Rattus norvegicus: one gene and its partner. The protein of the gene in region 1 binds, or shares a complex with, the protein of each later gene. Links are inferred from orthologs where the notes say so. Each region holds a gene or a part of one and is shown in the gene's direction. Other genes may lie near its edges.

Region 1 (3,813 bases):
TGTGTAAAGCAGTGTGTCCCTGGGCTGGGTGGCATCGGGCTGGACCTGTCTGACCATCACTGACCACTGATCCACTTTTTCTCCCTTCAGTACAAGCAAGTGGAGCAGTACATGTCCTTCCACAAACTGCCGGCTGACTTCCGCCAGAAGATCCACGATTACTATGAACACCGGTACCAGGGGAAGATGTTTGACGAGGACAGCATCCTGGGGGAACTCAACGGCCCACTGCGTGAGGTGAGGTGCCCACGGACAGCCACAGGACCTGGGGAGTCTCAGGCACATCCCAGCGTGCTGCACATGCAACCGTGCCCAGGGTCTGTGGACAAACTGATGGGGCACGTGTGGGACCCAGGGTCAGGTCTGGGCGTGTCTATTCCTGGCCGTGTCTCCCGCACCTCCCTGGCCATCACCTGCTCCCCTGTGAGCCTCAGACACAAAGCTATGGTCATGAAAGACACATCTGTGCAGCCACGCTCCCTCCGAGATCGTGGGGGAGGGTCCTTCCTGTGTCTCCAGCCCCTTTCTTATTGCACATGTGTGGGTGCCTTGCTTGCATGTGTGTCTATGCACCAGGCATGAACATGGTGACTGTAGAGGCCAGAAGAGAATATTGGATCCCTGAAGCTGTGAATCCCCGTGTGGGTGCTAGGAATCGAACTGTCTCTCTAGCCCCGCTTTATTTGACACACGTGTGTGTGTGTGTGTGTGTGTGTGTGTGTGTGTGTGTGCGTGTGTGTGTGTGTGTGTGCACGTGTCTGTGTCTCCACAAGTGTGTGCAGGTGCTCACAGAGACCAGAAAGACAGTGTCTGCTCCATTAGAGCTGGACTTACATACACTGTGTGCCACCAGATATTGGACCCAAACCCTGTCTTAATGATTGAACAGCAAACACTGCTAACCCCTAAGCAGCCAATCCAGCCCTGTCTTTAAATGCACACATGTGGGGTTGGGGATTTAGCTCAGTGGTAGAGCGCTTACCTAGGAAGCGCAAGGCCCTGAGTTCGGTCCCTAGCTCCAAAAAAAAGAACCCCCCCCCAAAAAAAATGCACACATGCGTGTGTCCAAGTGCACATGTGCACTGAGCTGGAAGATAACCTTGAGTTTTGCCCTTGAGAGGGCACTGTTCACCTTCTTTTAAGATTTATTTATTATTTATTTATTATATATGAGTACACTGTTGCTGTCTTCAGACTCACCAGAGGAGGGCATCAGAGGGCATCGGATCTCATTACAGACGGTTGTGAGCCACCATGTGGTTGCTGGGAATTGAACTCAGGACCTCTGGAAGAGCAGTCAGTGCTCTTAACCGCTGAGCCATCTCTCCAGCCCACTGTCCACCTTCTTTTAGACAGAGTCTCTCTGTCCTGGAGCTCAGCCATTCAGCGAGGGATCATGCCCCAGGGATCATCTGTGCATTCCAAGGCCTGGGACACCAAGCATACACTGGCGCCCTTGGCTTTTTAACATGTCTTGAGGATGCTTGCAGGGCTCACAAAATGCCCACTAAGGCTGGGCTTCATCTGTATAACCCTTCATTTCCAAATACAGTCCCATCCACAGGTTCTGGGGCTCTGTCAGCCGGGGAGGTGTGGCCAGCAATTGGGGGACAATGGTGTGGTGCTCAGGGCTGAGTGTAGAACACTGAAGGGAAGGCCTGATGTCTAGGGCCCAGGCAGAGGGCAGAGTCAGGGCAAAAGCCCCCGGGGTAGAATTACAGGAGGAGGCTGCCAGGGCTGGGAGGCCAGGCACCTGTGCAGAGCCATGGGGGACTCAGGGCTTGGGGCCCAGGGCTGTGTGTGGACATCCCAGTTGGTAGCCTTTGGTTAATGGTCTTGGAGAAAGTCAACAGAATTAAACAGACTGTTAATCTCACTTGTCCTTTTGTAGATAATGTAGCTCACAGGCCTTAGCTGCATGAAGTACACAGGTTTGTAGAAGAGACATACATCTCCAATTCTATAACTTTATCACCAGCCCCAAGGAAACATTTCTTTTTATTTTTTTTTGGTTCTTTTTTTTTTTTTCGGAGCTGGGGACCGAACCCAGGGCCTTGCGCTTCCTAGGTAAGCGCTCTACCACTGAGCTAAATCCCCAGCCCCAACATTTCTTTTTAAAACATCTTTTTTTCATTTTACATCGAGTGATTTGCCTGAATGTCTGTCTCTGCCCCAGTACCAGCATGCAGTACCAGCAGCAGCCAGAAGAGGGCATTGGACTCCCTGGGATTGGCGTTACAGATTCATCAGCCATGTGGCTGCTAAGAATTGAAACTAGGTCCTCTAGTTTCAAGAGTAGCCATCTCTCCCGCCGTTCTTTTCCATTTTTGAGACGTTTCATTCTACAGCACAGGGTGATTCGTGGCAGTTCTCCTGCTTCAGCCTCCCAAGTGCAGTGGCTACCCAGCCCGGCTTGCATGATCACACTTTGTGTGTCCCTCTGACTCCCTTCTCCTTGGGAGGGTCGAGGAGGCTGGCCTCATTGTCCATGGGTTTCTTGTTGGGTTTTGCATATGCTTTTGGCAGTGACCTTGACTAGATTCAGCCGTTTAAAAACACAAGCATGGTGCACCCTGGCTGGGAACTGCATTGGGTAAATGAGGCAGAAAGAAAGGACACCCCATCTAAGAGGCCAGAGGTAGCATGTGGAGTGGAATTCTTTCTCTTTGGAGGTGAAGCTCATGTAGCTCAGGATGTCCTAGAATGTCACTAGATAGGTGGCGAGGGTGACCTTGAGGGTGATCCTCCTGCCTCCGCCTCCAGAGGACTGTGATGACAGGCTTGTATGACCTGGTTTATGCCATGCTGGGGATGGAACTCAGGGCATGCCAAGAAAGAGCTCTACGCACTGAGCTCTGGTCCTGCCATTAAGCCTGTGGGGTATTTTCTGTGGTCCTGTTCGCTATAACGGCTTTCTCCATTCCAGTGTCACTCACCCTATGGCGGTATAGGGACTCGGGACTTTTTCCCGTATGCCTTAAGCTCATTTCCCAGTCCTGCCTCCAGCGTCTGCCTAGGAAGTTAGATAGGGGCTGAGGGGCCACCAAGTAGCCCAGGGGAGAGTGAGGGTCTGAGGTACCAAGCCAGTGACTTCGCCACCCTCCCTTCCACCCACAGGAGATTGTGAACTTCAACTGCCGGAAGCTGGTGGCTTCCATGCCGTTGTTTGCCAACGCAGACCCCAACTTCGTCACCGCCATGCTGACAAAGCTCAAATTTGAGGTCTTCCAGCCTGGAGACTACATCATCCGAGAGGGGACCATCGGGAAGAAGATGTACTTCATCCAGCACGGGGTGGTGAGCGTGCTCACCAAGGGCAACAAGGAGATGAAGCTGTCAGATGGCTCCTATTTTGGGGGTGAGCCCCCTACGGCAAGGCTGAGATCTGGATGGGGTGGGACTGTGGACAGCTCAGACCCGGGGAGGTTTGACCCAGCGTCGGGTGAGCTTTGAGCGTGGGCTGGGCAGGCTGCTGAGGCACCATCCTTGTTTTTACAGAGATCTGCCTGCTCACGAGGGGCCGGCGCACAGCCAGTGTGCGGGCTGACACCTACTGTCGCCTCTACTCACTGAGCGTGGACAACTTCAACGAGGTGCTGGAGGAGTACCCCATGATGCGGCGTGCCTTTGAGACCGTGGCCATTGACCGCCTGGACCGCATAGGTGAGCTACTGCCAGGCTGTCTAAGAGGGGTGGGGAAGTAGAGGCACGGCATAGAGTGTGCTCAGGGGTGCGCAGAGCAGGCAAAGCCTGGTGAAAAGCAAGCGGGGTCAGGAGGCCAGGAGCCAGAGGGCCAGAGTCCTGGGGCCTGCT
Region 2 (3,892 bases), on another chromosome or scaffold:
TCTGTGCATTGTTCGGTTGTATTTGTTTACATGTTAATTTTTAAGATGCCAATGGGTGTCCCGTGATTCACCAGCCAATATGAAAGTTAAGGCGGAGAAGTGACCTTCCTATGAACAGACCCCTTGCCTTCCCCCAACTCTTGCCCACACTCTGAACACTGTGAAGTTTCCCTGATCACAGAATCTTAGGAACACAAATCTTAGGGAGTTTGCATTCTCATACTTCTAGCTTTAAGAAAAGTTACTGAGAGGTTGGGGCTCTGTAACCACCTACCTTGCTGCTAGTGTGTACATGCAGGAGGACAAACATACTATGCAGTCTTTTCAACCCAGGACCTATTTAAACACTCCGCCTACGTATTTCAATCTGTGGAACAGGACACTCCTTCAGCAAATATTTGTTGGATACCTACCACCTGTCAGATGGGCTGTGCTGTGCTGGGCTATGCTAATGCACAGAGATTCCTGATGTCATGGAAGTAAGGTTAAGGGAGATAGACAACAACTACACCGGATTCGGAGTGCTTTTAATTCTGGGGGGGAAGTGTGTGATTTTTAAGGAGTATGATCAGAGGTAACTGGAAGTGGAATGCATAGGTAACTCCTTGGAGCCCAATCAGCTTACAAACTCTTCCAAGCCCCTAGACGTGGCCTATTGTCTGCAGGACACACTCTCTGTAACCTCTCTGAGAAAGACTACCTTCTCTCTCCCACTTTTCTTCCAGATGGTGGTCAGTCCCGGGCCTCGGAGTCGCCAACAATGCATTGGAAAGTCCGTGGTTCCAGGCCTGGGCAGCTCTCTCTCTCCCCCAGGATCTACTCCTCCTTCTATGAGCCACCAGGGAGAGCAAGCAGAGCACCGTCCGGGAGCGCGCTCGCTGGAGCCGCCCTCCCGCCCCCGGCTCCACGAGAGCGCGCGCGCCGGGCCAGCGGCTCTCGGCGGCGACGCGGCCCGGAGGGCGGCGCGCGCCCTGCGCTCGGCAGCTGCGGCGGCGGCTGGCGCGGGCTGGCGTCCGGACGGAGGCGGGAGGGGACGCTGCAGCCTCGTGAAAGGCGAGGAGAGTGGGGCACAGGACCGGCGAGTTGGAGAGGCGCGGCGAGCGGCACTGCGCCCGCGGAGAGCCCGGCCCCGCGTCCCCGTGCCCGCGCGCGCTCAGCACCCGCGTGGAGGACAGCTCCGCAGCGCGCCGCTCGCCCAGCCGCCCTCTCGCCCGCCTGCTTCTGTAACCCACAGCCGGGGCGCCCGGCGGAGAGCCCGCGCCCGCTGCCCGACCTGCAACTCCCTACGAGCCAGCTCGGGAAAGCAGTCATCGGCCTCGGGAGCCCTGACGACGCTGGAGCAGAATGTACCAGGGACACATGCAGGTAAGAGACCTCCCTCAGCAGGTCGACTGAACAGCCAGTGCTCCCCAAGTTCCTGGGTCCAGAGATGCCCTCGCCCAACTCAACAAGTGACAGGGGCACCATGACCCAGGCGTTTACGTCCCCCAGTAACACTGCACGGTATCCCAGGGTGGGATGCGGAGGAAAGACCGGGAACTTGTGCGGGGAAGTTTGCTTTCTGGGCAGTCCTGAGCCTGTGCCTTTAAGCCGGCTCTGGGATCTTCGCAGAGGAACCCCGAGGAGGTGACCATGTTTCCTAGCAATTCTGCCGCTGCACCTCTCACGTATGTCAGCTGAAGGGCAAACATCAGCCAGACTTGCCGCCTCTCCCGCCTGCCCAGGGCGCTCCACAGTCCCAGCACTTAGCCGCTGCCGCGGTGTTCCTTAAAGCATTCTTTCTTAAATGTTCCATGATGTATTTCCCCCGTCAGGTGACGGGACATTGTCACCTGTCCCAGTAGTCACAGCGGAGCAGGTTCTCAGGAGGGGCTTCTTCAGATGCCAGCGCTGTACTCAGCTAGAAGATTACTTTAACCTTGACTTTAGTTTTCATGCACGAGGTTGAGTCTTCCTCATGATAAAATTATGCAGCGGAGTGGTGGAGAGATAACCCAAATACTAACTCAGCGTTCTGAAGTGTGAGCGGAGCTCCTTCCCAATCCCTTGACATGTTTCTCCCTGGGGCTTCTCTCAGCTAGCAGTCCTCATAGGCGGTGTCCCCCACACCTAGCAGCCATCCGGTGTGTCTGTGTGAGTGCCAAAGATGCTGCTCCAGTATCTTTTAGACTCCTTGAGACAGAACAAATACGCTGCTGTGTGCATGACTTAATATTTAATTTCCAGGTCTTGGGGAAATTCCTTTGAACTATCACAGACTGTTATCTAAAGCCCAGCACTAATTGTAGCTCATCTAAAGCATATTACTGATTGTATCCTAAGTTTGCTAAGAATTCAGAATCAGCCGAGTAGAATTCCAATAGCATTGCCCTGTCACTGACATCATCCTGTTTTGAAAGTCATTAATGGGATTATGTCACATTTGACGGATAATGATTAGTATAATTTAAAAATATGTAGCAAATACAATCTGCCTGTCTTGAAAGTTTAAAGTCAAAGGAACTCTCCCACTACTGGGGGAAAAAAATTAGCAAAGGACTGATTTAATTGTATGCTTTGTTTTCACACAAGAATGATATTTAAACTTTCATTCTTTACATGTCATTATTAAATAGTCTCTTCACAAAGATAAAAGAGAAACATTTGAATAAACAGACTCAGCTCTCAGAAACTTTCTCATATACACAGAATTCATAGTTGATTACCTAATACAATTTATTAAGAACTTTCCATGACGTTTTTGTTTGGGAGATTTTGTGGGGTTTTTTTTTCCAAAATATGTTCCTGGGAATGCAAAATTGAAGAAACAATCTGGTGAATTGACACACCCTCCAAAACAAATTTAACTCAATTTTCAGAATATTTTAAGAATGGGTGCTATTGAAATTTAAATGGTCTAGAACAATTTTTGAAGACTTGATTTCACTTTGGAAGACGAGACAAAATGTGACTATAAGACTGTCCATTTGTTCCCACTGTGACGTGTGCTCCTGTAACAGCACACCAGGGCTTGCAGCGAAGCTCACATGTCCCTTTTTGCCAAGCTTAACTTGAAAATGTTACAAAACAAAAGCCATGATCAGCATTCTTGCCAAAATTCCAGAGCACCCTGCCTTTCCCCTCACACTTGACCATTATGTTGAACATAAAAGTTCAGACACCGCACTGTCTGAATGGGAATTCGTTTGTCCCCAAATCACCTCTGACAACCTGATTCATGATACATCTCTTTGGTTACATTCTTAAACACCCACTTTCTTCCCCCAAGACTGTCATTTAGTCTGTAGACGGACCCTCCCTAGTGTTGCTGTGTTTAAAGAATGGCTTCTTCCCAGGTTTAGCTCCATCCTGTGTGTACCTGACTCTAGTCACACACATGAACAAACACAGTCCAAACAGTGTCAAATATTTTCAGTTAAAATCCCAACACAACCTTCAGAGCACAGACCAGGAGCCTGCGTATGGACTGAGGCTGCTTCCAGGGTTGGGCTCGTTGGAAAGGCTGATTCTATTTGTCTGTATTAAGGCAGGTATAAAACAGAAACCCTTTGAATCATGTCCTATGCCTTCTAAATCTTGTACTTTCTGTGATCGAGATATTTTAAAAAACAAAGTGCTTTGTAAATAACAATCTGGAGTGGATGAGGGCTGTTCACATGGAGCCTTAAAAATAGTCCAGTTAAAACTCCTGCAGAGCCTTCCTGTCTGTAACTTCCTGCTTCTGCGAGTGGCTTCATGAGTCTGACACAGAAGGCTAAAGGCTCTACTTGTGGTAGAACCTCCACTCGCAGGCTTTTAACAACAGTCATTCAGTTCATTCTGATCCTTCATTGCAAGATGAAAGGTGACATCTCCTTCAGACAGACAGACTGCAGGCAGGAACATATTCTTG

Evidence for each region.
Region 2: the proteins of Hcn2 (region 1) and Pex5l are in contact, whole or in part, in a crystal structure (PDB 4EQF), measured with the Mus musculus proteins. The link is inferred for Rattus norvegicus from reciprocal best matches to the Homo sapiens genes HCN2 and PEX5L. Residues at the interface, in NP_032252.1 of Mus musculus: Leu859, Ser860, Ser861, Asn862, Leu863; in NP_001156988.1 of Mus musculus: Glu315, Glu317, Val343, Asn347, His426, Asn453, Arg454, Ala457, Thr458, Ala460, Asn461, Tyr472, Arg484, Tyr487, Asn488, Ile491, Ile494, Ile537.

Annotation. Positions count from the first base shown.
Region 1 is NC_086025.1:10,622,245-10,626,057, reverse strand, and holds part of Hcn2 (potassium/sodium hyperpolarization-activated cyclic nucleotide-gated channel 2), read left to right. Parts: intron 1-90; coding exon 91-237; intron 238-3,117; coding exon 3,118-3,358; intron 3,359-3,498; coding exon 3,499-3,663; intron 3,664-3,813. UniProt on the Homo sapiens protein: Hyperpolarization-activated ion channel that is permeable to sodium and potassium ions. Displays lower selectivity for K(+) over Na(+) ions. Contributes to the native pacemaker currents in heart (If) and in neurons (Ih).
Region 2 is NC_086020.1:117,833,755-117,837,646, reverse strand, and holds the start of Pex5l (PEX5-related protein), read left to right. Parts: upstream 1-961; 5' UTR 962-1,344; coding exon 1,345-1,365; intron 1,366-3,892. UniProt on the Homo sapiens protein: Accessory subunit of hyperpolarization-activated cyclic nucleotide-gated (HCN) channels, regulating their cell-surface expression and cyclic nucleotide dependence.